4 linked regions of the Tamandua tetradactyla genome follow. The protein of the gene in region 1 interacts with the protein of each later gene in a pairwise test. Links are inferred from orthologs where the notes say so. Each region holds a gene or a part of one and is shown in the gene's direction. Other genes may lie near its edges.

Region 1 (7,518 bases):
CCCTTAATAAATAGCCTGCTGTTGGGTAGACCAGTCTCCCGCCCAAGTGACTATCATGACTTGCAACCACCACTCCACTGGCTCTTCCTCAGTCCTCCTACTGGCATTGCAGCAGTTTGCAGTTGCATAAGGCAGATGCCTCTGCCCTCTCTCTGCGACCTTCGCCTGCTCCTTGGTCTGGTTAAGTCCCCCATAGCAGACTCTGTTGATGCTGTGCCCCCACCTCCTTGGCTGCCTTCCAGCTGCAGCTTTAATGAGCAAAACACTGGTTGCTGGGAGTCAAGTTGACAATGCTCTGCCTCGAGGAAGCTGCCAGGGTCATCCTTCTTTTCTGCCTCAAGGCTTTCTTTAAAGCCCTGGGTGCTCGGAAGCATAGGGGAGTAGACACCCCAAAGGTGATTCCCAACATGCTCATACCCCCATCCTAGAAATGACAGTTCTGGGAGGGCTTTTTTAAGTGTCTCAGAGACCCAGCGGTACTGAGTGTCTGCTGTGTACAGCAGGGACCTGTGTCCCACACTTTTTTTTTGGGGGCGGGGGCATGGGCAGACTCTGGGAATCGAACCCGGGTCTCTGGCATGGCAGCGAGAATTCTGCCATTGAGCCACCGCTGCACCGCCCTGTGTCCCACACCCTTATGTTGTTTTTTCCAAACTTCCTTCTCTTGATTTCTGTATTTCATTGTGGCTGCTTCTGGGATCACCTCCCGAAATAAACTCTGTCCCTGAGTCCTTCCATCAGGTTCTGCTCTGGGAAGGGAGACCCTAAACTAAAATGCCAGTTGATCACATTTTATTTTTTCATCAAAATACATTTCTACTCTTCTCTTCACAGTTTCTAGATGCAAACATACCCAGAGATTAAAGTGGGCTTTGTCTCGGAACAGCTGGAAACAAGAGGCGACTTTGCCAGCTGGACCTCTGAGAAGCAGAGGCCAGGAAGAATTTAGATGATCAAAACATGTACTGGAGAAAACACCTGGGAAGGACAGCAGGAAGGGAGAAGCAGCTTGGCTTGTAAGTGGGTAGGGCCATCAGACTGGCGAGGTCTGACACCTGAGAAAGGACAGGGGAAGGAAGGAAGATGGTGTAGGAAGCCGGTCAGGCAGTCCTGCAGTCCTGAGTGAAGCTGGTAGGGCTGTGAGGAGCTTTTGGGCAAGAGCTGCGGGTCAGAGTTCTGCACTGGGCACAAACGGGCCAGCTTTAGTCCTCCCCCCAGGCTCAGGTGTTGGCTGGGAACAGCTGGGGGGTGGAGGGGGCGCGTGACCCCCCCCACCACAGTGCCTTGGTGGGCCCGGAGGTGTGAGCCCTGGAGGCTGCTGGTTCATTACGTGCCTGTAGTTTGGGGAGCACACCTCCAGGGTGGCCACAGAGACAGCCATTTCCACATTTTAAATCGAGGTACTGCACCATCTTTGTGGGATTTGCTAAGTAAGGGTCTTGCCACCTTCAGCCCAAGTTTAAGAAAATGAGACAAGGTTCAAGGAGGTTGGATGTGGGAATTCGCTGGAAAGAGTCCAGAGTGTTGGGAAGAGGTGGGAGGACCCACCCAGTTCACGCAGACAGGGTTTATTGTACCTGAGCCAGTGATCCTGGGAATCAGCGGAGGTTAAGTGATTCCTTGCCATTTGTGTTCTGGAGAACAGCTTTCTGCAAAGAGCCCCCCGTCCCCCTATTACTCAGAAAAGACTCAGGGATGCCCCCCTGATTTACCTATGACAAACCAGATGCAGACCCTCCAAACTCCCGTCCTTTGCCTCCTAAATGTCGCCACTCCACTGGGCAATCAGGACAAAATGCTTATAACCAAACTGCTGAGGTGTCTCTCCTTCCTCCAGACCCTTAAACTTTCAGGGCACCTCCCAGTAAATAGGCTGCCCCGACATAAAATATTCTTGGAACACTCTCTGATCCCGTCACCCTTTCACCCCACCACCCTACACCCAGTTCTTTCCTTCCTATCAAAGAAAACCTCCTTTTCCCTCAGTCCTGAGATGCTTGCAGACCTCATGGTCGGGTGTTCTCCCTATTGCAATAGCCCTTCCCCCTTTAAAATCATCTTTCCAAATAGGGTCTCTCCTTACCAGGTCAGGATTTGATTTTTATTTGGCAGTGCAAAGAAAGGTGGGATTCTTGGGAACTAGCTGGAGAGTTTGGTAGGTATCTCCTGGAGTTCGGGGACATATATTAACCTTGACTCCTACGTGAAATGCTTCAAGGAGAGAGGCTGGTGGAGGCTGTCTGTGACCACAGAATGAGGAGAGGATCCTGCAGGAGCAGTGGTCTGCACCTCTAGAATTTGATAGGCAAAATTCCAGGGGATTTCTGCGGGCTGCAGCAGACATGGCGGGAGGGGGCTGGGTCTGAACCATTTCTGCCTCCCAGGACACAGAGCCCCCAGAAGGCCCTGTGAGGTGGACCACTAGACAGAGAAGCTGCGGTGGGACTCGGAGTAGTCAGCAGCAGGCTAGGAGGCAGGTGGGTTCCCACCCCCACCAGCCCACCTCCTGGAGGAGCGAGGCTGCCTGGAGCCGGGGTGGGGGTGGGGTAGAGGTAGAGCAAGGTTGGTCTTCCCCACAGCTGCCTTCAGAATGTGGGTCCTCTGGGTGCTGACAGGTGGTGGGAGGGGAGTGGGGAAGCTGCAGTTGGAGGAGATTGGAGTTTTGATTTGGATTGGACTGGACTTTTTAATACCAGAGAACCAAACTCGCTATTCACAGCTGAAATGACAGATAAAGCTATGAAATCTGCCCTAGATTCTTCCAGAGAAGCAGGGAGATCCGATAGAATGAACTTAAAACACAGCAGTGTGGGGGCAAAATCAAATGGTATTTCGAGATTTCCCTTCACCAAGTCCAGCTTGTTCAAAAAAATTAGCCGATATAAGATACTGTTTAACAGAGTAGTTTGAGAAAAAGATCCCCATTAAAAGACACAGAAACCTAAATAGTGCAAGAAACTAGCACCATCATTTCATTTTTGTAATAACAACTCTTTAGTACATTGTCATTTCACCTAACATTTTTGAACCCTAGCATTTTTAAACAGCTCAGCTGTTCTCTGGTCTCACTTGCCCTGTCAAGTCTTTCAGGAGCCCTGCTTAGGGGAGAGGAAGGTGGGACCCCAAGGTCTTCGGAAAATATTAACTGATGGATTTATTCATACGATCTGTCAAGGCTGACGGATCCCTCTCTCAGTGTTAGGCACACTTGGTGCTTATTCAACACAGAAATAAAGACCTGATTCTATAAAGCAACATTTGCCTTTTAGGCAAACAGTTTCAAGACCGACTTTGGGCTCCATCTGAGAGTTCTTCCCGATGCGTCGCCCAATTCTTCTCGCTGTACATAATTCCAAGAACGCCAGTCCTGGAAGTCGCTGCCCTGTTGCCCTGTTAGCCAGCTTTTCAGTCATTTTAAACCCATTTTAGCCATTTAAAGTGTACTTTGGTGGTGGTAATTACAAATGCTGTGGCACCATCAACACCATCCATTACCAAGAATTTTGTACGCCCTCAAGCACTGCTACCCAGAAAGCATTAAGTCCCTTCCTTCCTCCCTCACCCCCATCTACTTTCTGTCTCTATGTATTTGTTTATTAAAGATATTTCATAGAAACGGAATCACACATTTGTCTTTTTGTGCCTGGCTTATTTCACTCAACATGGTGTCTTCCAGCTCATCCCCGTTGTCCCCCGTCTCAGCACTTCATTCCTTTGGACGGCTGAGTGGTATTCCCCAGCGGGCACACACCTTCCGTTTGTCCATCTGCGGGTGGACATTTGGGTTGCTGCCACCTTTTGCCTTGGGTGAACCGACGTGCTGTGACCTCGGCGTAAGGTATCTGTCCCAGTGTCCCCCCTCCCCTCGGTCTCACTCCTCCTTCCCCTCGGGTCTCCCGAAGCCGGGGTCTGGCGGGGGCTGAGCGGGGCCGCGCCCACGGGCCCCCCGCGAGCGGGAGCCGGCGGTGTCGCGGGTGCGGGCGCTGGCGGCCGGCAGAGGGCGCTCGGCTCTCCCCTCGGCGGCGGCGCGGGGCGCGGGGCGCGGGGTGCGGGCGGGCAGGCGCGCGCCGCGGGGCGGCCGGAGGCGCCGGGGGCTCGGCGGTGCGTGGGGGCGGCCGGGAGGGGGTGCGCGCGCCTCCGCCCGCCCGCGCGCGGCTGTCAGCGGGGACCGCACGTCGCGAGCCGGGAGGGGCGCGCCGGGGCTCGGGCTCCGCCGCCGCCGGCCCCGCGGCTCGTCTTTGTCCGGCGGCCGCGGCCGCGCCGTGGAGCTCCCGGGCGTGCGGCCGGCGGCCCCGCTGCCCTCCCCCGCGGACCCCCAGCGCCGAGCGGGGGCGGCGGCCCGGGCGGGGCCTGCGCCGAGGTGAGTGCGGGGGCGGGGGCTGCGGGGCGCTCCCGGCGCAGCCCGGGCGGGGCGGGCGGAGGTGACAGTCTCGCGGCCGCGCTCTCCAGGTGCCGTGGCGTCCCCCGCGCCGCCACCTGCGCCGCCCCGCGGGTCTCTCTGCCAAGTTTGTCGATCCCCCGGGGCTGAAATCCTTGGCGGAGCCGCGGAGCGCAGACCTCGGGGTCGCTGGAAAACTCGAGCTGGGGAGGAGGAGGAGGAGGAGGAAGCGCCCTGGAGCCTGGCCCGGGGTGAGAGGGTGCTCGCGGGCAGCGGCGGCCGCTCGGACCTTCCCCGGGCTCTTTCCCACGCAGGTGAGCGAACCCGGGGCACGCTCGGCAGGGGGCCGTCTGGGCGCTGCAGCTGCCCCGGAAGCCCCGCGAGACAGGTGGCCGGAGTGCGGGGCAGCGCCGCACTGGTTTGGCTTTTCGGTCCCGAGGGCACTTTCTCTCCCCTGCCCAGGTCACCTGCTCGGGCCGGGGTGTCGCAGCCTTTCGGGCACCTTCGCGTGCCGCCAGGTTAGACATCCCTGCTGTAGAGGGGAGGGGAGGTTCGTGAAACCGAGTGCCACCTTCCCCCAGCCTTGGAAAATCGGGGCTGTGAATTCGTCTTATTTTAGTATGAAATGTGCTATTTCCTGCGAGCTTTATAATGGCAAGCTCTGTAAAGGACCAAGCGGCTTGCTACCTCCATTTTTCATTCTGAGCCTGTGCACAGAAGGAATTTCAGGCACACAAGTGATGTTACTACCAGTCTATTTTAAATACAAACACGGAAAGAAGTGCTCTTGGCAGGAGACCAAAGGCGCCTGTACTCTGTTATATAAGTGCTTTCAAAAAAATATTTGCTCGGTGGTTAAGTTATAAAAGTCATTCCCAGAGCGTGGAATAAGAGAGGGTGAGAATAAGTCAGAATCATGGTTTCTGCTTTAAACCAAAACTTTACTGGAAGATAAGCGTGCACTTAGCTGGAAGACACCCTTTTAAGATAACATGGGCCCTTTCTAATAAATCATTGGGTAGAATTGCAAAGCATTAAAAAGCAAAATAGGTTTTGTAAATGCTGTTATGAAATTTGGTTAGGAGTCTTTACTACTGATAGTGATAAGAGGGATCCTACAGCTGTCCTTTATGGGTTTCAGACTTCTGAAAGATTTTGTTTTGATCTCTGATGAAAACTTAGTAATTGGGAGTTACCAGTTATAGAGACCTTCCTCCCTCCACCTCCTCAGCAAAGCCTCTAACTCTTATTTTTGGCTACTTTTTTTTTTGGGTAAGAGGAAGCCCAAAGTAGAAATCATCATATATAGCCATGTCTGGGCCCCTTCTTTCTGATAGTCTGTTCTGATTGCTTTTTGGTGGTGCCTGGGCATCTGTGATGTTAAAAGCTTGCCTGTGCTTCTCCGGGCAGCCTGTGTTGAGAGCTACGGAGAATATTATTTCATTTATCACTTTGTCAGCCAAGGCGTGGCTGCCCTGGTTTAAGAAAAGTCAGACATAAGCAGTCCAAAATACGGCGAGAGAAAAGTATTGGAAAAGAGATATGCTGATGAATTATAGCATGTGCACTTTCGTATTTTGTCTAAATAATCTTTCTTAAATTTTTTTTTTTAAACACTGCAAAGAATAGTTTTTATCAGGGACCCAGACTTCCCTGGGGATTACTTACCGGAATCCTGAGCGGAACATTTCATTGTGCAGGGGTAACAGGGAATGTTGAGTAGTAGTGTCAAGATGTTCTTTTATGCTTACGTGATGAAATATTCAGGGCTTATTAAAGACGATTTTCTCTAGCAAATTTAAAGCCTTATGTTCATATAGACCAATAAATTAAGTCACAAAGAGCTTTCATTGTTTTTAAGACCAGAAGTAAAGCTGGCTGCTAAGTCAGTGTTTTCTGTCTACTTCATGTATAATGTCCGAATCTGGGAGCATATCTTATAGATGGCTTCTGGTTGAAATATCTATCTGATTTTGAAGGCTTATGTAAGAACTGCGACTGTGTTTTGGCTATTACATAACTGACACAGAGCTAGATCGCTAGTCAAAAGAGGGGAAGGGTGCACAGCCCAGGCCAGCCCATGCAGTTGTATAATGAATTGCTGCTGCCAAATTAAAGGGAACAGCGGCGATGGTGGTTTGTGAACGAGAGATAAGAATAGTATCCAGAGGACTGATGCAATAGAAAACTGTTATGCTTAGTGGTTTTCTAGAGATTTTAGTGCTGCAGTAAAAACTGCTGTCGTCCTTTCTGTCTTCCAGCAGAGGTGGATTGAGTGGGAAGCTGATGAAGCTTAAGCTTTGGGGCCCCTCACCTAGAATTCCTCCTGCGAGGAGCACCAGCAACGTGTCCACGTGGCCAAACCTAATTCTGTAGGTGCACTTTTGCATTCTGTTTAAAGAAGGACTATACCACACCTCTTCCCTAGTATGTAAACCTCAGGCTCCACAAATCTTGAGTCTCCATTTCTTGCCAATGTTAAGCTCACCCATAAAGTTGCCTTTCCTTATTTTAACTTTTGTAGCCTTGTGAAAAGACAGTTAAAGAGGTATTGCAGTTGACCAGGTGAGGAAATGCAGATTGCTGTGTCCCGGGGCTGGGGGGTGGCAGGGAGTCAGTGGTTATGTGGGGAACCGGCCCTCCGCCTTGCTGTCTCAGGAACGGCACTTTTCCTGGATCTGAGTGTGAGCTGAAGCTTAGAAAAACCCGGATGGGAGCAGGGTGGGGAGAAAGTGGGTTAAAGCACTTGCATATCTCAAGGTGGGCTGCCAAGGAAGGGGACACCTCTTTAATAGGAGTTGATAGGAACAGCTAATGTCAGCTCCACAGAAGATCTTTTTGGGATCTGTCTCTGATAGGAATTTTAAACTGTGAGTGAACAAACTCAGACCTGGAGAAGAACCTGCAGGAAACCAGTGCAGGTTGGGAAGGACTGGACGAGTCGTCTGGTTGTCCCCATTAGCAGATGTGGTGAGTAAATAGGAGCCTCACTGTGTCCACCACAGGAATGTCTGCAGAAAAGGGTTGAGGATTTTCCCTTTATCTCTGACACGATTTCAACGTTCACACCTGAATTCAGGTATCTTCAGACCTTAATATCTTGACCCCTCCCGCACCAACCCATTTGCCTCATCCCTCCA
Region 2 (7,314 bases), on another chromosome or scaffold:
GTGTCTCCTTGAATCATTCTGCCTCAGCATTTTCTCTAGAGTGAGCTTCTAGGATCAGTAGTGGGTAGGGACTTGTTCCTTTCTGTGGCTCACGACACCAACCCCTATTTAGACAAGCTTGCCAGGTAATAGCTTACCAGTAAATGTAGACTGTTTTCTCTTCTATGATCACCTTGGGGTATTTCTTACCTCATCTGTAGGAAGGTCAGGGACTGGAACTTCCTTGTCGGTGCTGGCCTTGTCCATACCACACAGAGAAAGCCAATTCTTGGCCTTCTTGGGATCAGGTCTTAGGAGAGAACCCTCAGGCCCATATGTTCTGCAGGACTCAGGGAAGGACAGGCCTCACTGGATCCCAGGGTGGGGTCTCATACAAAGGCTGCTTCTGCCCAGATACTTCTTTAGCCATAGAGTGAGGAGGTCAAGCTCCATTATCTTGAAGGGCCCTCTACCTCTGGAAAATCCTGAGGATCTGAGCTCAGCCCTGTGGATAAAATTGAGTCTCAGGACATTTTCTCCTGGGAGGGTCAACTCATTGCACTAAGGAAAACTGGGCAGAAAGTAGAATGAATATCCTGACTGCATGGCCTGCCCTTTGGCCTTGCATAGGACCAGTAAGCATCCAAGAAACCCACAAAGGAGGGAGCAGCATGGGATGATGCTAGGAAAGGAGACCATGTACTTTTCCTTCCTCCTTCCTCTACCTGGGCCTGCCTACCTCATGCCTTCTGATGACCTAATCAGGCCATTATTCCAGGGGTGCTACACATGGTTCTGGACTTCGGATAGCCTCAGCCTTTCAGATCCTGATCTGACTCTGCAGCTCCCTCAGCTCCTCATCTTAGTCTCCCAATCTTGCAGCCCTTGTGGGTACCCTCTGCTAGGCAGATGTAATGCAACAATGTTGTTGCCTTTGGGAGTTCACAGTCTAGTCAATGGCACTAGTATGTAGATGTTATAATGCAGAGGCAACACTGGACACTGCCTGGCCATGCAGGAAGTGAGTGCCCTGAGCCAGGTGAAGGGGTGAGGGGCAGGGGAAGCCCTACATGCAGGTAAGAAAAGATGGGGCTGGTCAGGGAATTAGAGTAAGCCACTGAAAAGTTTTGAGGCAACCGGGGCAAAAGAGGCAGATGCTAGAGGGGAGTCATACTATCAGGGGTTCAGGTGCATGTGTAGTAGGATCACTGAATGGACTGATGGGGAAAGTGAGACTTTCTCCAGGAGATGACAGTGTCCTCAACAAGGGTGCTGTCTGTGGGTTCTGAGAGGTTCTCAATCTGAGAAGGTAGATTCTCTGGCCTTAATGCCTGATTGTAAGAGTCAGAGAGCAGGGTTGAGTCTGAGACAACATCCAGGATTTTGGGCTAGAACAACTGTGAAGATGAAATGCAGGAGAAAAGGCAGGTTAGAAAGAGAAGAAATTATTCATTTAATTTGGAGTTCCCTGCATCTAAGGTGTCTGGGGGATACACCAGAAGACCAGGAGGCAGCAGAATGTGAGGGTTCCCAAAATGATCATAATGGCCAGCTCTTTCCAGAGGCTCCAGAAGGCTGGAAGCAGCATTCATTGATGGTTTGGCTGCAGGATTCCTGGAAAGACATTCACATCCACCACCACCCCCTCTTAGTTTCTTGGGCTGCCATAAAAAGTACCACAAACTGGGTGGCTTAAAACAATAGGAATTTATTATCTCATAGTTCCAAAATAAAGTGTAAGCAGGGCCATGCTCCCTCTGAAACCTGTAGACAAGAATCCTTCCTTGCCTTTTCTAGCTTCTGGTGGTTGCTGGCAATCCTTGGTGTTCCTTGGCTTGTAGCTGCATCACTACAGTCTCTGCCTCTGTCTCCACATGGCCATCTTCTGTGTTCTCTCTCTTCTTATAAGGACACCAGTCATAGTGGGTTAGAGGTCTGCCCTACTCCAGTATGACCTTAGCCTGATGTAATTCTATCTGCACTGTTTCCAAATAAGGTCATGTTCATGGGACCAGGACTTGAACAAGTCTCTTGGGGAGACATAATTCACCTCATAAGTCCCTCCCTACCAGGAAAAAGGCACCAACGCCTCTGGCACCAGGGACCACTCCTTGGGCAAGGTCTGGTCCAGCTCTAGTCTTGCAATGTGTGGAAAGTGTTCTAAAGCCAGCTACCGGAGGGGCAGGCAAATGAACTCTGCGACCTCACAGGGGGTGGGAGGAGATCACAAGTGCTGGTCCCCTTAAGGTCAGAACAAATGCAGGCCCCCTCCCTGGAAAACGGGGTAAGGCCAAGCACCTGCTTGCCTTACTGACCCTTACCTTTCTCTGCCCCAAGTTCTCCTTATTTCCCTCCCTCTCTGCAGCCTCCCTCTGCAGCTTCCCTGACCAGCAGATTCATCTGAGGAACTTTTAAATATATGGAACCCAAGCCCCACCCTGCAGATTCTGATTTCAGTTAAGTCTGCATAGCACCCGGAAATCTGTATTTGTTAAGTTCCCAAGTGATCCAGGTGACCAGTAAGGCTTCAGAGCATACACTGGGGAATCCTCTCACCCTTCTTCCCAGCCTCTTTCCCTCTTCAGTTGTCTTATTTGGGGAATCACAAAGTCTGAGAAAACGAAAAATTTTTATTGTCAGCGAACCCAAGGTCCAGCAAGTGTGGTCAGGAGCCGAATTCCCCTCCCCCGATTCTTCCTGAGGGCCTAGGCCCACAGGCTGCTGCTCTTGGGGGAGTGGCAGCCACCAGTGGGGTGGGATAGTCACTTGTACTGAGGAGATAGTGGGGGCACAAGTGGAGCAGCACAAACACTCAGCATCTTGTCGATGTCCACCTGGGTCGATTTATCCACCTCAGCCTTCAGCTGGCTGCAGGACTTCAAGCTGGGTACACACCCAGACTCCTCTCCAGCCTCCTCTGCCAGGAGAGCCAGGGCATGGGTGGGGGCCACTAATGTACTGGGGCAGGGCAAAGCAAGGCCTGAGCTGAGCTCACCTGCCACGGGCAGCAAGGCCTGCAGTTGCTCCACTCCTGCCTCTTCAGGGACTATGGCCAACTCTGAGTCAGGCTCCACCTCAGCCTCCGTCTCCCTGTCCCCCTCCCCTCCCTGGTTCAGCTCAGGATTGTAATAATTGATGTACTGGTACAGGGGCCGCAGACGCTGGGCTTTTCCTGCAAGGACCCGGGGCAGGGAAGAGGCTGGAGCGCCAAGGTGTGCCATGTCAGGCAACCTAGTAAGCAGGGGTAAAAGGGGAGGCCCAGAGGCTGCCACTCACGCTCCAGCCTCAAGGTCTCTGAAGGTGCAGACACTGTGCTGGCTGCAGCTGGGTGTGCTGGAGCCCCCAGACTCTTGCGCTTCTTGACTTTTTTATGCTGTTTGGCAGATGGTGAGAGTTCGCTCTGGCTGCCCTCTGGCTCCTCCCTCTGCAGCAGTGGTCCAGGTGGCATCTCAGCTTCACCTCTAGGATGGGCATTGTGACTAGGTCCTGGAAGGCTGGGGTACCAGAGCCAGGGACAGGAGGCCTGAGGTGGCATCTCCACCCGCTGGCTCCCATGCCCAGGATCTAGGGATTGCCCTCCTTACCCACTACCCAGGATCAGATAACTCTCCTTTCCTGGTCAGTGAGGCCCCAGGCTGGACCAGGGCTCAGAGCTCATGTGAACTCAGTCCCCTCCAAGGCCTTGAGGCTCCTCCTCTTTTGGTGCTTCCTACACCAGGGCTCTTGAGGGACAGAAGGAGTGGGGGTGATGATGGTGGTGGTGGCAAGAGGACAAGTTTCAGGGGGACAAGGGGACTCTGCAGGAATGCAGGCTTTAGGAATCCTAGTGGAGTGTCAGTCCCATCCCCCAGCCCTGAAGCCCCTTCTCTCTCAAAGCCCCCTCACTTGACTGGCTTCCTCTTGGGACTCTGACCAGGCCTCACAAGAGAGGCCATAGGCCTGTGGCCTTTCTCCTCCAGGGTGTCCTCTGGCTTCAACCTCTCCTCTGACTTGAGTCGCTTTTCCTGGAGCTCTGGCTCTGAGGCTGATTGCACTGGACACTTGTCTTCACCCTAGGGCCAAAAAGCCTCATTGACTGGTACCAGACACTGGTCTCCTGTCACTGTACACTAGATGTGGCACATAGGTAATTGGTCACTCGACTAGACAAAGGATACAGGAATCAGACTTTAGATATCAGACACTCTATAAAAGGCACCGATGTGCCCCTTTCCACCAGTGTAGCGGGTCTTGGAAGTTACAGGGCCTGGATCCCCAAAAGTTTGACCCTCTATGCCCCAGGGGGCCTTGGCCTAAGTATTTGAAGTCTACAAGGACCGATGGTCACCTCAGAGCTCTTAGCACGGTGACCCGGCGCCTGGGTGAGTGGTGCGGGCCCCACGGCAGTTCCCTCCTGGGTCCCCAGCCGCCTCTCCGCCCCTGCTGAGGCCATGACTGCGTGGGGTCAGCACATCCTCGATGGCGGCTTACGGGGACGGACCCTATTGGTCGGTTTGGCGGACCCCGCGCTGACCCGAGAGAAGGGCCTGGAGGCGAGTGCCGCACTGGAAAAGGCGACTGGCAGCCGTTCTACGCCTACCTTCAACTGGAACTGCAACTACAAGCCCCAGAAGGCTTTGCGCCAGGAGCACTCACCCTTAACCTAAGGGACGGAAACCACTGTTGCTAGGCAACAGCAACTTCCCTGGTCGCCGCGACAGCGGGCTACAGAACTGCTCTGGTGAGACCCCGGCTTGGGTGTTGTGGGGGAGGGGCCGCGAACAGGGCAGGAAAGTGGGCTCCGATCGGATGTCGCGGAGGTGGCGAGCGTGGGCCAGGACTGAGGAGCGGGGCGCGGGACGAGAAGGGGGCCGGGAATGGGGTGCACAGCTGGGGTCAGCGTCCGGGTCGGTGGACGAGGCGGGGGACTAGAGAGGGGATCCAGGGGCCGGGAATACGCAGCCGGGAGGCCTCGGTGCACCTTTGCAGGGCAACGGCGGCGGCATGTGCGAGGGCCTGTCCCGCATTTCGGGGCCCATCCCCCCGGATCCTACGCTCTGCCCAGATTACTACCGTCGGCCCGCCTCTGGTGAGTCGGGAGCCTGGCCGCGGCAGGTTGGGCCCGGGGCCGGCGCCTGCGCCTGCGCCTGCGCCTGCGCCAGCTCCGAGACTGAGCCCGGCGCTCCTTCCCTCCCGGGCCCTTCCCTCTTCCCCGCAGCCCAAGGGCGCCTGGAGGGAAATACACTGAAGCTGGACCTGCTGACTTCGGATCCCGACCTGGATGCCGCCCTTCTCCGCGGCCCCTGTATCGGTCCCGGAGCTCGAAAGATACAGGAGCCTGGCAGGCGTGGTGCGGGGGACGTGTTGCTGCAACTCGGGGGCATCTCTCTGGGCTCAGGGGCCCCTTTCAAGAGTAGGTCCCGGGAAGGGGGAAGAAGGGACAGCCAGACGAGTCGAATCGGAGGTCTAAAGCGGAATGAAAAGCGCCCACTCTTTCCCCGACCTAGGACAGGCTTCTGCCCCTCTTGAGTCAGTTTCCCCAACCATAAAAGCAAGAAAACAATCCACTACCTCTTCGCAGGAAAGGACTGAAGGAGGTAGTCCCGGGGAAGCCCTAGCTCAGCTTCAAGCATTCATGCATTAATGCAGTGCTGTTTTTTGAGTGCCTACTGTGGGCCAGAATTTACAGGTGCTAGAAAAACAGGTGAAGGCAAGCAGGATCCATCATGATCAAGGTGGGAGACGAAACAAAGAGATAAGTATGTACAAGATGATTGATGGTATTACACAAAAACGTAAAACGTAGTCAAGGATGGAAGAGTATTACTGTGTAAAGACAGGAACTTAGGTGGAAAGGTCAGGTAGTTCTTTCTGTGGGAGGGGTGGGCCTGTGTGTGAATGGGAGAAAGCTGGATTGCATGGGGGGTATGTAGGGCAGGGCCTACAGCATCTCTTCCCCAGGGAAGGACACCAAAGACCATGAGAAGGAGAACCTGAGGCGGATCAGGGAGATCCAGAGGCGCTTCCGCGAGCAGGAACGCAGCCGCGAGCAAGGCCAGCCCAGGCCCCTGAAAGCTCTGTGGCACTCACCCAAGTACGACAAGGTGGAGTCCCGGGTCAAGGCCCAGCTACAGGTACCTGCCTGGGGAGTGAGAAATAATATCAAGCTTGCCCATCAGCATACAATTATATCCTGATCTGGGTTATGGGGAGGGAAGAAATCACAGGGAACTTAAGTGACAGAGGACTGAGAGATAACTGGCCCTGCTACGGGGTAGTACTGAGGACCTTCTCAGAAGTGGTAATGGCTGGACTGATCCTAAGGGACAAGGAGAAATTAGGCAAGAGGAGAATGGAAGAGAACATTTCATAGAGGGAAAACCTCCTAGGTAGACATCCTGAGGCCAAAAGTCGAGTGGACAATGAGGTTGCTGGGTGCAATTAATACTGAGGGAAGAAGAGCACAAGGTAGGCTAAGAAGTCAGCAGGACCGACATCGTAAAGGGCTACATATGTCACCTTCAACCTTTATTTCTGAGGGTAGCAGGAAGGGTAGGGGTGTGGTGGTAGGATTCTGTCTTTCCTTGAACAGGGACTTCAGAAGGAAGAGCAGTGTTGAGAGAAAAGAAAACAAGGTCACATGTGGATGTGCCAAAGCTGAAGTGTTTGTGGGACTGCTGGGGGACCCACAGGAAGCAGGTGGCTATTCAATTCTGGATCTCGGAAGTGAGACCCAGGCACTCCAGAGGATCATATTGAGGACGATAAGACCAAGGAAGTGACCCTTGGGTTTGAGGGCATGGAGGTCAGCTGTCAGTGAATTTGAGTGGCCAGAGCCAGGAAGCTTGGCTAAGAAGGGGAGAGAAAGTAATAGCTAGAGCAGGATTGAGACAAAGAGGGGTGGCTTGTTGTTTTCTTAAAAATATGAGAGACTCACACAGGTTTAAACATTGAAGAGAAGTGTTTCTGTAAGAGGGATGCCAATAGGGACTGGGATAGAGTTCCTGAGAAGCAAGAAAGATGGGCATGGTCTTATGGCTTGAGATCTTGATATCAGTCTGACTGATCCCCCTTTTGTGCCCTGCCCTCCAGGAGCCTGGCCCTGCCTCTGGGATACAGTCAGCCCATTTCCTGCGGGCACACTCCCGCTGTGGCCCTGGGCTCCCACCACCCCGTGTCCCCACTTTTCCCCTAACCCCAGCAGGTCCCAATGCCAAGGTGAGAAGACGCATGGGGGCTGGGAACATGTTGGGCAGAGGTTTGGGGGCGCTCTAGGCACAACACAGTGTGCCTGCCCCCTCCATGTTTGCCATGTCCTGCAGGGGCCAGGCCCAGGTGTGGACTTCATTAGCCACA
Region 3 (7,661 bases), about 130 Mb from region 1:
ACAAGGGTAGCAAAGAGTCGGGAGGCCCTTGGAGGATGCCCCATGCCAAACACCTAAAAATTCCTCTCACTCATGGGTCCAATGCTCCCTTCCTTCTCCCCTCTCCAGTTCCTGAGGAATCTGGGCCTTCCCTTATACTGTGGGCTCGATGCAGGGTGATGTTGCAGGACCAGAGGCTGGCCTGAGGGTGGGACTCGGGCTGATGTCTTCCCCGAGCAATCCCACCAGGCTCAAAGCTTGGGACCTGCAAGGTGACAGTCAGGTCATATCAGCAGTGGATAAAGGCTTCAAGCAGACACCTATCCATAAGGTGGACCACCCCCTCCAAAGACCCGCCCGGCCAGGGCTCCCAGGCTGAAGATGCCATGCCTCCAGGCAGACTTCCTTGATTTGGTGCTCATTGGAGCTAAAGCTTAACTTCCTCTTCTCAAAGCCTTCAGGGGGAAGCAGGACTAGAAGGGGTCCAGATGGGGGTGCAATTGCTCCTCCAGTTTTGCTTCAATCCCTGTAAGCAAATGGTATGAGTGGAGCAGCCATTGGCCTGGGGTTCTAATTCTAGTTCTCGGCCAACTCCTTGTGGCACTGTGGGCCAGTCCAATCTCCTTTTTTTTGGGGGGGTCTCAATATTCCCTTTGGTAAAATGAGAGCTGGACTAGCACTTTTTTATTTTGTAGGGCTTCTTGGATGATTCTCAGCTGGCCCCTGGGGTTTGCTTCCAAAAGGACAAAAGGGATTACCGTTCAGGGTCAGAACGGCCAGCTGACAGGGCTTCATTCAAGCACTCAAGAGGCGGAGCCAACAAGGGTGGGGACTTTGTCCCTAAAGGTAAGTGACAAGTTCCACTGGGCAGGTCAGAGGGAGAGTTCCAGGGCTACTGCTGTCAAGAGTTCTAAAGGTGAAAATTTACCAACAGAACCTGCCTCCCTAGGTGAGCTCCAGAGGTGCGGGTCCAGGATCCCGCCCAGAAGGTGAGAGAAGGGTGCTTAGAGAAAGGAGCTCAGCAAAGCCTTCTGGTCTTCTAGCCCCAAACCCGGGGTCATCCAGTCCAGAGGGCTTCATCCCCTGCTCAGACCTCTCAGGGCCAGTCCCCCAAGGCTGGTGGAGCCTGGCCTAGGAACCAAACAGGAAGAGGCATTTGGACCCTGGTTCCCAGAGTGGGAGAAAGGGGTGGGCACCGGGGCAGAGGGAGCCCTAGGGATTGGCAGCGGCTGTGGGCAGGGCCGGAGGGACGAGGGAGGAGTCAACTTGTACGTGTGAAAAACTCTGACGGGGACCGGGCTCTTCCCTTCCTCCTCCTCTTCCCTCCTCTTCCCCACCTTCCTCCACCCCCTCCTCCCCTCCCCTCCTCCCTCCTCCTCCTCCTCCTCCTCCTCTAGCTCAGGTTGCAGCTTCTCTGGGGAGCCGCTCACCTTTCTGGAGCAGGGGAAGCAGCCCCGAGCGCGGGCAGGGACCTCGGCAGGGCGCAGGGCGCAGGGTACGGCGCCCAGTCTGGCTGCGCCCCTGCCGTCGTGGGCGGGAGCCGGCGCGCCGCGGCCCCCAGGACACGCGCGGTGAGTCCCGCGGGCTGCGCCGTGTGTCCGGCTGGCTCTGCGGGGGGCTCGCCCGGGAAGGGGCAGGGAGGTCGGAGGAGGAGGGGGCTCCGCGGCGCCGTGTGAACGAGAGAAGGTAAGCGGACAGCTTCTTAAAGGCGCAGTTCTGCTTTCGCCCTGGGGCGAGGGGTTGGAGGGAAATACCGGAGGGACGTGGGAGATCCCGAGATCGCAGGTCGCGCGTGTGTGACGGGGTGGGCGACGCCCCGTAAAAGGACACTCCCAAGTTCCAGGTGCTTAGGAGAGAGGGAGGGAGAGCTGTTTTTCATTCTCAGATCCACCCCCCTCTCCCCAGGGAGTCTGCATTTAGGACCCCGTTTTGGCCCCCGGGCTCCCGCCCAAATCCTACAAAGCAAAGTTCTCCACCGAGTCCTCAAACCAGGCGCTATGTAAGAGCTTTTCCTTCTGGGAAGGGCAAGGGTCAGGAGGCTCGGGAAAGAGAGGTCCCAGGAGTGTGGGGGCAGGTAGCCGCCTTGGAGGGGCTTAGGAGTGTGTGGGGGGTGGGGGGCAGAGCCCTGGGATGAATGGGGAGGGCGCATAAATCCCTGCTGGTCCCAGACCTGGGGGGACGGGGACGGGGAGTGGGGAGGAGGAGGGACAGGCCTGTGGAGCGTGCTGCCTTTTCACTGTGCCCCCTCGGGAAGACCAAAGGGGCAGTCCCTGATCGGCCCCAGCCCAGCAGCGGTAGACAAGGGGTTACTACTGTGGTGGGAAGGTGGGGGTGGGTTGGGGGTCACGCAAGGACTAAAGAAACGTGGCTTGAGGACTCTGCTCTTACTATCTTGGGGGAGACCATTAGAAATCTGAAATCGGGTATGGCTGGAGGCCTCGTTGTCTCCCTATTTTGTTTTGTTGGGGTGGGGGTGGGGGGGTGTTCCCTGGAACTGTCCCTAGGCTTCTGGTAGGAGTCAGGCTGTGGAGACGGTAACTGATTTTTCTGTGCTGGGGGTGGGGGTGGGGGGGCAGTTGTCAACACCTTCCTAGGCACCTGTGGCCTCTTTCTAATTCTGTCTGAGCCCCTTCCTGGCAGCAGAGGTAGACGAGTTAGGGTTGTGAGGGGTGGGGGTCAGCTCCCCAGAACCTTGTCCCCCGGCTTCCGCTGTCTTGCCCTCACCCCCACCTGCAGCCTGGGCCCTGGGACTCACTGACACTGCTTGCCCCTCCTGTGTCAAGCCGCTGCCACGTTCCTGGACACTGGCCTGAGAGAGCAGAATCTTCGAGGAAGACAGTCGGCTGGCTGGCTGGCAGCGGGCCTGCAGAAATCATCCTTATTTAGCCTGGCTTTGCGGTGGAGCTAGGGAAGGCCAGGCACCATCCCCAAGCAACGCTGGCTGCGGGGTGGAGGTCGGCATCCTAAAGGCGTTCTGCAGAAGGTCACTTTGCCACAGGAAAGCCCCTGTCTCAGGGTTACCCTGCCCCAGGCCAGCCACCTTCTGTGCAGCCGATGAGCCTGTAGGGCTGACAACTCCATCGCCTCTGGGGGTGTTGGGACTTCACTGACCATTAGGATCCTAGGATTCTCCCTGTTCATTCTTCCCAAATATCCTGGCGTTTCCAGAAGCCAGAGTATATTTCAATGAGTTTTATCTGCTCTCTGCATGTCTCAGTGGCTACCATTTATTGATTACCTACTGCATACTAAACACCGTAAGTGTCACAACAACTTTTAGAGTACATATTATTACCCTTACTTTACAAGTAAGGAGACTGAGACTCAGAGATCAGCCTTTCCGAGGTCGCACAGAAGCGAGGTCCAGCCCTTCTCCACGTGACCCCAAGCCCCTGCTCTCTATCCCAGCTCAATCCGGGGTGATCCTGGCCTGCTCTGGGATTCTCTAGTTCTGCATCACTCCTTGGGAGAATGAAGGGGGCCCGTGCTCTGAGTAATGAAGCTCCCTTTGTCCTGTGCCAGGCAGAGCCAGACTTCTCCGTGGGTCACAGGAAAGAGGGCACCAGATCTGAGAAAAAAAGTGGGTTGCTAATCTGAGATCTCATGGGATCACCCTGCCTGTCTTAGCAGCCTCTCCATCCGGCCTTTAAGGCTGCATTTGTTCCTCCTACAGACGCAGCCTTGGTTCTCTGACTACTTGGGCCTCCCTGTGTGCGGGGCAACGGGCCCTACAGTGTAGGGCAGAGCCTGGCTTGGCTCCTCTCAGCTCCACCTGGGGCTCGCCTTTCTGGGGCCACCCTGTATGTCAGCAGCACCTCCACTTGCCCCCTCCCATGATTCCCTCTTCCTTAACTGAACTTGAGACCCCAAGGGAAGAGAAAACCCGGGATCTTGTTGGACTCTAGCACCAGCACAGACCAAACTGGCACATGGCAGATGCTAAGTAGCCAGAAGCTATAGTGGTGGTGGTGGCTATTTAAAAGGGATTTCCCTGGCCATTGTACAGTGCCCAGTTCTGGGGGAGAGACAGAGGCTGGTTTTTCTCCCATGTTAGGCTCAGCCCTCAACCTGCTCTTCCAGGGTAAGGGGGAGCCGTGTGAAAGAGGACCAGGGAGGATAGAACCTGCCAGGAGGGGACCAGGAATCGTGACCTGGTGGGCTCTGCCCTCTAGTTTCCAGCATGTGAGTGAGGCAAGCACTGGGGCCTGACGAATCCACAGCCTCCTGCTCTGAGGAGCCTCGGGCAGGCCTCCTTCCCCGGGAGTAAAAGACCCTCTGCCCGGTCTGAGGTCCCTCCTCTGCTCTGTGACCATGAGGGAGTGGCTGGCCTGGATCCAGACCCACCTGGTTAGCTTCACCTCTTTGGGAACGAGTCACATTTCTCTCTCCTGACTCTGTGTCCTGTCGTGCCCCTTCCCTCCACCCTGGACCCTTCGCCTTCACTCTGTAGGCATCAGCTGCTGAATGGGCTCTTTCCCATCTCCAGGAGGTGGGAACAGACCACGGTGAGGCTTGTCCTGGCCAGCACAGCTGCATGCATGCACACACACGTGTGCCCGCAGAACCCAGGGCAGCTCAGGTGGAGGGTCTGGGGCCTCGGGATTGCTGCAGAGCTGGTGGCTGGGGCTGGCGGAGCGGGCCAGGGGCACAGCAGCAGAGCAGGAAGAGGGAAAAGTGTAGGTGCATCTAAGCCAGCCCTGCTGTCTGAAGGAGAACCCATATGTTCCTGAAATCTCCATGCTTCTGTCTGAGGAAAATGGGGAGGGATGGGGGATAAGGACATTGCGTGGTTTGGCTTTGACCTGGAAGGGGTCTTGAAACTCCCTGGCAGCATGAGTATCTCTGGTGAGATCGAGGTGAGGGCACCCTGGTCTGGGAAACATTGGCCAGAACTTTCAAAGAGACAGTGGTGAGAGCCTCCTTCCTAGAACTCTTGATGACGGGTCCCCGCCCCCTGCCAACCATGCCACCCCTCACCCCCTGACGTTAAGTAACATCTCCCCTGGCGGAGGGATTGGGTATAGACAAGGTGACCCAATAGGGCTGGTTGATGCATTCATTCATTACTGATGTGTTGATGCATTCATTCATTACTGATGTGCCTAGTATGCGTCTCTTTTCCACCATAGGTGGAGGTAATTGATGGACTTTAGGGTCAGTTCAAATCCTGCCGTTGCTACTTAGTAACTGGTTACTTTAGGTGGAGTAATTTGCTCATCCTACTTTCAGTTTCCTGCTTTGTGAAATGGAAAGAATAGTAGCATTACCACGTGTGGTTGAGAGGACCCAAGTGGGAGAATGTTCGCGATACCTCTAGCTTTTGGTCTGACCTAACAGCATTACCAATGAGGGCAAATGGAATCAGTGTGCTACATCTGGCAGGCCTCAGTACCCTGGCCTCTGCCCAGTATTTTTCTGTAAAAACCACGTCTTAGGTCCCAAATTGGAAAGGGGGCTCTATTTTTAAAACGTCTCCACCCTCCCTCATGCCCTCTCCATTTATCATCTCCTTGGGAAGTTCCAGAAAAGCTCCACACACCTTTTCTCCCCTAAAGAAGCCTGTCTTTTCCTCCCTCAGGAACCAGGGCATCTTCTCTCCTCTGGTCCCCTGCCACCCAGAAAAGGAGCCCATTGCTAGGTGACCAGGCCCTGTGGGGGACAAAGCTGTCCTTCCCTATGTCCTGGCAGAACCCACCGCCTGGAAGCAGGTAGGTGGAAGACGCTGTGCTGGTGGACAGTGTCCATCATGTAAGCTATGCTGGGGGCCCAGACCTACTCTCCCAGCAGGGAGCAGGGTGAGGCTAGCAGAGGGGTCACAGCCCCTCCCTGCTGCTGGCATAGAACCAAGCCGGCACTCCCACCCCAGGCTGGACTGGTCACCACATTCTGTGCAGTGCCACATGCCACATCTTCTTCCTATGCAAGGTGGCCCATGAGCGGCTGCTGACTTCCCTGGCAATGGTGCCCAGTGGAGGGAATGCCATCTCTGGATAGGCCCTTGCAGTGCAACCCTTGCCATCACTCGTGGCCCCAGGGGTGCAGAAAGGACATTGTATTTAAAGTCACAAGCCTTCAGTTTAATCTCACGTCTCCCCTATCAATCTGGGTGGCCTTGGGTAGGTCACTAAGTCTTCACATCATCACCTGAAAATTGAGGGCACAGACCAAGGGATTTCTAAAGCCCCAGCCAGGACTGCTGGTTTACAGTACCAACTTTTTCCAGCCCTGCTAACAAGGTGAGCTGTGCTCTGAGATTCCAGAAGGCACTCAAACCTTCTGCTCCTCAAACTTGCAGGGGCTTCCCCAGCTGAGGCTCGTATACCTAGTCCTTGCCACAATTCACACGTGCAAGGAAACCCTAGAAGGCCTCACCCTCAGTCTGAGAGCAGAGAAGGAGTACCTTCCAAAGAAGTGGATGCTGGCTCCAAACCACCACACTGATATTGAATGCTCAAGGGCAGGGTTTGGCAAATCATGGCGTGTGGCCAAATTCAACCTACCACGTGTTTTTGTATGGCCCATGAGTTAAGAATGGCTTTTATATGTTTTGAGCATTTAAAAAAAAAATCAAAAGAAGAATATTTCGTGAGACTTAAAAATTATATAAAATTAAAATTTTAGTGTAAAGTCCTCTTAGGAGGCCGTCATGCTCACTCGTCTACGTGTTGTCTGTGGCTGTCTGTGCCACTTTGGCAGAATTGAGAGGTTGTGACAGAAACTGTGTGGCCTGCAGAGCCTGTAGTTTTTACCATCTGGCCCTTTGCAGAAAAAGTTTACTGACCCCCATTCAAGATAATCATGGTTCTCCCTAAGCCTCACTCTAAACAGTTCTGGAATAGCAATATAAAGGTACTTCCTTTTCATTTAAAAACAAGTGTTAATGTTTTCTTATTACATGAGCAGTCTATGTTCATGATGAAAAAGCCTAGAAAATGCACATATGCAAAAGGAAGACATTGAAGTTGCCCGTAATCCCACCACCCACATGTAGCTGCTGTGAATGTTTGACTTCTGTCCTGGGTTGTATGTTGTTTGTATGTGACGCGGCGTGTATATATATCACAAATACAACTTTTGCCAGTTGCATGCACGTGCCCTGTTCACCTGGAAGTGCATCTCGGTCAAGCTGTTTGCTGTCTCCAGGACTGTCTCTAGGCCCAGGCTCGGGGGGCTGGGGGAGGCCAGGGCTGTGGATCTGGGGGGCGTGAGCCTGTGGGTGGTGGTTTCCCAGGGGTGAGGATGAGGTTACCCAGGAAAAGTGTGTAGATGGGGAAGAGCAAAGGGCCAAGAGGCCCACGAGACAGGGGACAGACAGAGAAGGCGAGTTCACAAGGCCCTGCAGGGAGAAAGAAGTAGGAGAAGGACAAGGAGGCCAGAGAGGGGAGTATGAGGCGGAGGCCTTGCCATGGGGCAGGTGCCTGTGAAATGACCACGTGACTGGAATAAGCCAGTTCCTCCTGCGAGGGGCCTGAGCTCTGGCTGCATGGGTGGCCCTGACCCAGGGGACAATTTGAGAGCAGTTGAGCAACTCTGAGACCTTCAGAGGCTTTTCTGAGGGGGGTTTGGAGGCAGAGAGGGCTGGAATAGCTGGAGAAGAGGCAGGGAGGTGCCAGAGGGCCATCCAGGCCAAGGTACTCCACGGATAGGGAAATCTAGCTGACCAGAGCCTGGGGCCTGCTGGA
Region 4 (7,164 bases), on another chromosome or scaffold:
ATAATCAATATTTTCTGTTCATTCCCAGTTTCAAAAATAAAGTTCCCATCATTTCAACATTGTTTTATATCCATTCAGTTTTTCATATCTACCCCTTTTCTTTGTTATTCTCAGCACAGCTTCATCAATTTTGTTGTTTTTTTTTTGACAAGGTCATCTTTGGCCTTGCTTGGGGGGGGAGCGGGAAAACCACTGTATTTTGTTTTGTACTTCATTAATCTACTCTTAATTATTTTTTTTCCATTTACTTTCTGTTGTTCATTAGTTTCCTTAAATGGATGTTTCCTACTCCATTTTTCAGCTTCCGCTGTATTTTAATATAGGCATTTAAGGCTCAATATTTCCCTCTACGTGTTAAAATCTCCCAGTCTAATTATGCGTTTGTCTTACTCTGTTTCTGTTCATTTTTGTTTTATAAAATATGAGGTCAAATTACTAGTTTATGGTAACTTCGAACGCTGATTATTGTGTGTGTGTTATGTCTCGGAATGCGTTTTCCCTTAAAGTCCACCTTGTCCAATATTAATATAATTTTTTTAGTTATGGAAATAATTTGAGGTCTAGGATGATGATACCTTTCTCTAGAGGGTTTTCATTTGTTTCTGCAAACGGCCAGAAGATACTAACAACCCCGCGGTTCACCTTTATGCACTATCAGGGACTGAAGTGTCCTAACGCTGTTGACACATTTGCATTAGATCGGCACGGCCTTAGTCCGGAGACCTCCTCGAGCATTCCGAGAAGTAAAACCAGGAGCTCTGATAACTGGAAATCTCGGGGGGTGCGGCTTTTCTATTTTCCTCTTGGATATCCCAAGAAGAGTAGTCCAAGACAGCGGTACTGTGGGAGTGTTTGCCCAACTGGCACTACGTAGCACGCACTCCATGTAGTCTCACATACTTCCGCTATATGAATGAGCAGCTCCACACGTTTTCCTGGCACACATTCTGAGTACAAGTCCAAGAGCTCCTCAAGCTCTTCAGCTCAAGGAGGGCGGGGCTGCGGCATTCTGGGAAGTGTAGTCCAGGAACTTCGAATAGTCGCACGCACTTCCGCCCCGACGAGGACAAGGTAGTAGCCATATTTTTGCTGGTTATGGTGACTGAGGTCATTCCGCGCGACGCTTTCGAGCCATAGCCCATGGCCTTTCGTTTGGAGCGATACAGGAGCAGCTGACCACGGAGGTTTGAGGGGTGAGGGCGGCGGGTTGCGTTCGTCTGGGTGGAGCTTCTTCGCGTTTGGGGTGTTTCCTTATTGGGGTGAACACTGGGCATGCTTAGCTGGGTTCGGAAGTCTCGAACAGTGTCCCCGCTTTCCTACCCACTTCCGCCACCTGTATGCTACCCCTTCCACGTCACACGTTTAACAGTGGACGACTTACTTAACATCTCTTTGCCTTTGTTTGCTGTGTTCTATAAAAAAGGAATACTAATTAGGTGTTTTGAGAAAAACGAGATAGTGATTAAAAGTTTAAAACTGCCAAGCACATGAATTATTGTTATTAATAATTATAACACTCCTAGAAGCCCCTGTTTGGCAGTGAACCGCTGTGATCCCAGGAAGCAAGATTGTTCTGGACCCCTTCTGATCTTTTTTTTTTTTTTTTTTAACATTTTTTATTGTGAAATATATACCAAAACGTGATTAATTTCAAAGTTCAGTTTAATAAGTAGTTATAGAGCAAATTTCCAAGTATAGTATGGGTTACAGTTTCACAGTTTCAGGTATTTCCTTTTGGTTGCTCTGATACACTAGAAACTAAAAAGAAATGATTCGGTAGTCCTAATCCTTTATTTAATCCTAACTTCTCTGTTACAACTCATCCCTCTTGATTATTTTCTCAATCTTCAGGGATATTTTCTTCTTGAAAAGAGCTGTTAATATATGGGGTAGGGGAATGTACTGGTTGATGTTCTGGGAGAAACCCATACCTCTGAGTTTCAGAACTTACCTGGTATAGGAACAATCTGGAGGTTTTAAGTTTCTGAAAAATAAATTTAGTAAGTAAAAACTTTTATAGAGTCTTAGAGCCCTAGGTTTCTTTAAGGTTTTCAAGAAAACTTTTGGTTGTGGCTTGGCATACTGTGGCAATTTGTAATTTTTGGCTGCAGCTTGCATTAAAGTAATCTCCAGAATGACCTCTGGACTCTGAAATCTATTAGCCACTGAAACCTAATTTTGTAACAATTATTTTTCCCCTTTTGATTGAGCAGGCATTCATGATCCCAGGATGCCAGGGCCCAGCTTATCCCTGGAGGTAATTTCCCATGTTGCCAGGAAAACTTTTATCCTTAAAGTCATGTCGCATGTAGGGAGGAGGGTAGTGAGTTTATTTGCAGAGTTGCATTTAGACGGAGGCCACGTATGAGCAGCAAAAAGGTTCTTTGGGGGTGACTTTTGGTGTATTTATAAATAGGCTTACCTTACCTTTAGAAATAAGTTTCATAAGAGCAAGCCTCAAGATTGAGGGCTTGGCTTATTAAATTGGGAGTCCCCAGTGCTTGAGAGAACCTCAGAAATTTTCCATTTGGGGAAGTTTAATAGTTCTGTATTTTTTCTCCAGTCCCTCAAGGGGCTTTGCAAATACTTTTAAATTATCTGCTCAAAATACTGTGGAATGTACCATGGCATTATTTAAGCTATGCAGAATCAACAGATCTCATTCTCTATTCTAGACTCCATGGATTTAGATTGTTTAAATAAACTGGCCAGATAGGTTAAGCTAGATTGTGTGCTACAGAAAATTTAAATTTTGGAGAGAATTAACATGTCTTCCTTTGGTCTCACATAGAAATTGAAGCTTTAACATACAGACAACATCATCCTTTACCCTGTATCCTGATTTGCCTTAATTCCAAATAGATCAGCTTTATTCATATCTCTAATTGGAGTTTGATCTCTTTTTCATTTTCTTTAACAGTTGCTGTATGGAGTAATGCTGATTTGCAGAGTTGTAGAACTCTAACTCTGAGCCTTAGGTGTCATACAGGTACCTATAGCCCTAGGTATATACCAAGTTATATACTCAAAGAACACAGCATCTTAAAATTCAGGAAATAATGTGACTACTGTAAGAATTTATAATCCAGGCCCTAGTTTTTTAATAAACGTTTTCTAAATGAAAGCATACAATATTTGTCCTTTTGTTTCTGGCTTAATTTGCTCAACATAATGTCCTCAAGGTTCACTCAGCTCTGATACATGCCTCACAACTTGATTCTTTTCTGTAGCCGCATAATTTTCCATTGTATATGCATACCACAGCTTTCCCTTCCGCTTCTCAGCCTATGGACTCTTTGCTCACCTCCATCATGAATAATGCAGCTATACACATCAGTCTGACCTCTGTTTTGTGAATGAGGGAGTTGCCTGTTATGGAAGGATATTACTGATTTATTAAGGGTGGAGACAGAATCTTGGATTTCACAGCCTTCTTTCCTTCCCAGCCCTGATTTCTCTAAAAACACTATACATAGGAGGGGTCCACAGGTAGCAGGTCCCACGTGAATAGGACTTAGCATTCTTCTGTAAAGATGTTCACATGATTTGGAGAACACGTGGGAGATGTTCTTGGCCGTGGGTAATGATAATTATTCTTTGGTTGCTAAGTTCCATTCTAAAGGCCTTATATAAATCACACAGTTCCAGCAGACAATGACTTTTAAAATGGTTAAGTACTGTTCTTTTACACTGTAATTTTACATTTGAGGAGTGTGAGACACAAGAAGGATAAGTTAGTTGCCCATGGTCACCCAGCTAATAAGAGGTGGAGAAGGAGTTAGAACCTAGGCTGTCTGAGTCCAGATCATAACATTCATAATCTCTTTGGTATATTCCCCTTGAGCCAAAGGGATCTGACTGGAATCAGGTAGCAAAGTAGGATGGAACTTGGTTGTGGGGAACTTAAAAGCAAGGTTAGTGTGTTAAATCTATTCTGTGAGGGATTTTTTTAAATATAAATGTATTCTCAATTAATTCATTTTACTTCAAGTAATCATATTATAGAAGCAACATAAAACCATTGTGGAAATTCAGAAAACATAAAATAAAAAGAAAATTGTTAAATTATCCTTAATCTTAGGATGTAAAGATAACAATTGCTAATATTCTGATGCATTTTTGTTTAGTTAACCTTTGTGTATATTTCCGTTTAGTGGCTGTTTACCTTTGGACAGGAAGATGCTGCACTGCTATTCAAACTATGGTATACAAACCAATGGCTTCAACCTGGGTAGAAATGCTCATCCTCAAACCCCCCAAGACTTCTTGATTTAGGATTTCTAAAAATAGGACCTCGGAATCTGTAATTTAATAAGATCTAGGGGTGCTTTCTGTGCATGTTAAAGTTTGAGAAGCCCAGGAAAGGTTCTTTCCTGGAAACTCAGGCCTAGAAACTAATCCAGCTGGGTATCACAAATAAAACTGAATCAGACATGCCGGACCTACCTCATCCATTGAATTTTTTCCCTGTAAATATCATGAACTGTCAGGTCTTCTTGCACATTCTTGACATAAGCAGAAGGCAGCTGGCAAGTATAGAGGCAAAGTGGAGGGAATTTTAAGTTGTGAAGAAATATTTCTCCCAGGCTTTATGGAGTAGATTCATTGCCCTCTTTTTGCATTGAAGGACTGCTACCTGAGGTGGGAAGATTGCATAGTCGCTGCAGATAGCGTTAGATGTCATTGGTATCGTTATTATCATCATTATTGTTATTGCTTTTGCTGTTACCATGACTGTTTCTTGATTTGTTAACTTTTCGTTATAACTTTAAATTTACAGAAAAGTTGTAACATAGAGTAAGAAATTCTCATATTCTCCTTACCAGGACCCACTGTTTACGTTTTGCGTATTTGCTCTGTGGATGACTATCAGTCAAATACCACCAGGAAGATAAATGTAATCTAAGATGTTTTTGTGTTTTTTAGCTTGCTGCAGCAAGGAAGCCCGTTCAGTGCAGGGAATAATGGGATATTTCAGTAAGAGGCAGTTAGGAGGGGGCTGGTTATTGGGTTTTGACTAGTGTTAGCTTAGTTGGGAAAAGTTTTAGGTAGCAATGGTTTGTTCAGGGTTCAGTTCTGTCAAGAAGCAGGTGCAATTCATGACTGGATGCAGAAATAATACTGATCTAAATGCTGTCAAGAAGCAGGTGCAATTCATGACTGGATGTAGAAATAATATTGATCTAGAAGGTGGGAGAATCAAAGTGAGTCTGAAGTTGTTGGTAAGGAAGCATAGTCTCGTGTTTGCTGAGAGAGTCAGTCATTTGGTCGTTTTGTCATTGTAGATTGTTTATCTGTTACATGATTCTGGCCTGGGCTTGTTTTTTCTTATTTACCATGATCACTGAGTGACCCTGTCTCATTCTTCTTGATCAGTTGAGAACACCAAGTTCTATCTGCTGTCGCTATTAGCTATCAAGCTGGATCATGGTGAGGGGGTTCTTTACAGCTTTATGTTTGTATTTTTTTTTTTTGGTATGTCGTGTAGCAGGGTCACATTTCATTATTTTTCCATGTTAGTATCCTCTTATTATGGCACCATTTTCTTGATTTTTTGTTTGATTTTTGGGAAGTGCATGGACAAGAATCAAACCCAGGCCTCCTGCATGGCAGGTAAGAATTCTACCACTGAACTATGCTTACACCCCTATATAAATTTTTTTCTAAATGATTTGAGAATAAGCCAGAGACATGGTGCCTCTTTGTCCTTAAATATTTAAGTGTATGTTTCCTAAGAACAAGAACATTCTTTTATATAATCACAGTGCTATGATTAAAATGAAAGTAATTATGTGGATAACATACTGTTGGTTTAATCCACAGTAATATTTAAATTTGTTCATTTTTTCCCAATAAAATCTTAGAGCTATTTTTCCTGCAGTTCATTTATATGCATGGCACTTAGTTTTTACATTTCTTTTTTTTCATGTTTAATCAAGACCAACTCCTCAACCTTTATTTTTCTCTTTTGCTCTTGACATTTTTCAAAGCAAGTTATTCTGCAGAATGGCTCACTTTTTGGGGTTCTGATGTTTGTCCATGATTAGATTCAGATTATGTATTATCAGCAGGGATATCACAGAAGTAATGAGGCCTCCTTCACTTTTCATCCTTTGAGGCTAATGATATTGGTTTGTTGCAATATTGATGTTCTCAACTTTGTTCTTCTGGTTAAGGTAATATCTGCCAGATATGCCACCATATATTTACTATTTTTCCATTTGTAATTATTAGTATTTTGTGTGGAAATACTTTCAGACTATGTAGATGTCTATTCCTCATAAATCTTTCACTAGTTTTTAGCATCCATTGATAATTTTCTATCTTGCATTCTACTTTTGTTAGTTTGCATTCTACTGTAGGAGGATCTTTCTCTTCTCACCCATTTGCTTACTCCCCCTCCCCACAAGGGCTTTTAGTCAAACACATACAGGGCTTATAGTGACAACTTGCTCTTCTCATTTTGAGTTTTCTCTAGCATAGTTAATAAATGCCCAAATAACCCAAATAATTGACTTTGTATGGAGGTATGCTATAGTCACAGAACACTTTTTGTTGGTAAACACGCTGCCCAAAGCACCTGAACACAGAACTTTTAACTATTCACAATTCAGTGGTAAAAGGGCAAAGTTACTCTCAATAAAGGGAGCATCAGACAGAAGATTTTCACAATCATACAGTTACATTGTAAAAGCAATATTGTCATACAGTTGTCTTTAAGAATCAAGGCTACTGGAACACAGCTCAAAAGTTTCAGGTACTTCCCTCTAGCCACTCCAATACACCATAAACTAAAAAGGGATATCTATATAATGTGTAAGAATGACCCCTAGGATGACCTGTCAACTCTGTTTGAAATCTCTCAGCCACTGAAGCTTTATTTTGTCTCTTTTCTCTCCCGCTTTTGGTCAAGAAGGCTTTCTCAGCCACTTGATGCTGGGTCCTGGCTTATCCTGGGATTTCTGTCCCGTATTGCCAGGGAGATTTACACTGTTGGTAGTCATGTCCCACATAGTGGAGGAGGGCAGTGAGTTCACTTGCTGCAATGGCTTAGAGAAAGGGACCACATCTGAGCACCAGGAGAGGTTCTCTGGGGGTGATGCTTAGGCCTAATTATAAGTAGGCTTAGCCTATCCTTTGCAGGAATATGTTTCATAGGGGTGA

What was found.
Region 2: the proteins of MTUS2 (region 1) and ENKD1 interact in binary tests that used the Homo sapiens proteins (3 or more experiments, as listed by UniProt). The link is inferred for Tamandua tetradactyla from reciprocal best matches to the Homo sapiens genes MTUS2 and ENKD1.
Region 3: the proteins of MTUS2 (region 1) and CDK18 interact in binary tests that used the Homo sapiens proteins (3 or more experiments, as listed by UniProt). The two-hybrid records come from large-scale screens. The link is inferred for Tamandua tetradactyla from reciprocal best matches to the Homo sapiens genes MTUS2 and CDK18.
Region 4: the proteins of MTUS2 (region 1) and uncharacterized protein LOC143659047 interact in a two-hybrid assay, tested with the Homo sapiens proteins (2 studies listed by BioGRID and IntAct). The two-hybrid records come from large-scale screens. The link is inferred for Tamandua tetradactyla from reciprocal best matches to the Homo sapiens genes MTUS2 and ZNF224.

What each region holds. Positions count from the first base shown.
Region 1 is NC_135330.1:194,043,867-194,051,384, forward strand, and holds the start of MTUS2 (microtubule-associated tumor suppressor candidate 2), read left to right. Parts: upstream 1-4,503; 5' UTR 4,504-4,692; intron 4,693-7,518. UniProt on the Homo sapiens protein: Binds microtubules. Together with MAPRE1 may target the microtubule depolymerase KIF2C to the plus-end of microtubules. May regulate the dynamics of microtubules at their growing distal tip.
Region 2 is NC_135342.1:61,397,949-61,405,262, reverse strand, and holds the start of ENKD1 (enkurin domain-containing protein 1), read left to right. Parts: upstream 1-4,298; 5' UTR 4,299-4,306; coding exon of another isoform or gene 4,307-4,411; 5' UTR 4,412-4,699; intron 4,700-4,947; 5' UTR 4,948-4,962; coding exon 4,963-5,047; intron 5,048-5,176; coding exon 5,177-5,371; intron 5,372-5,919; coding exon 5,920-6,092; intron 6,093-7,050; coding exon 7,051-7,176; exon of another isoform or gene 7,177-7,280; coding exon 7,281-7,314. Other genes in the region: C16H16orf86 (uncharacterized protein C16orf86 homolog), read right to left, coding at 2,742-3,178, 3,256-3,473, 3,865-4,031, 4,307-4,411. UniProt on the Homo sapiens protein: Microtubule-binding protein which regulates microtubule organization and stability. Promotes the stability of astral microtubules and facilitates the proper orientation of the mitotic spindle.
Region 3 is NC_135330.1:63,230,002-63,237,662, forward strand, and holds the start of CDK18 (cyclin-dependent kinase 18), read left to right. Parts: upstream 1-4,648; 5' UTR 4,649-5,687; intron 5,688-7,661. UniProt on the Homo sapiens protein: May play a role in signal transduction cascades in terminally differentiated cells.
Region 4 is NC_135342.1:20,258,699-20,265,862, reverse strand, and holds the start of uncharacterized protein LOC143659047, read left to right. Parts: upstream 1-4,154; 5' UTR 4,155-4,179; coding exon of another isoform or gene 4,180-4,201; coding exon 4,202-4,204; intron 4,205-7,164.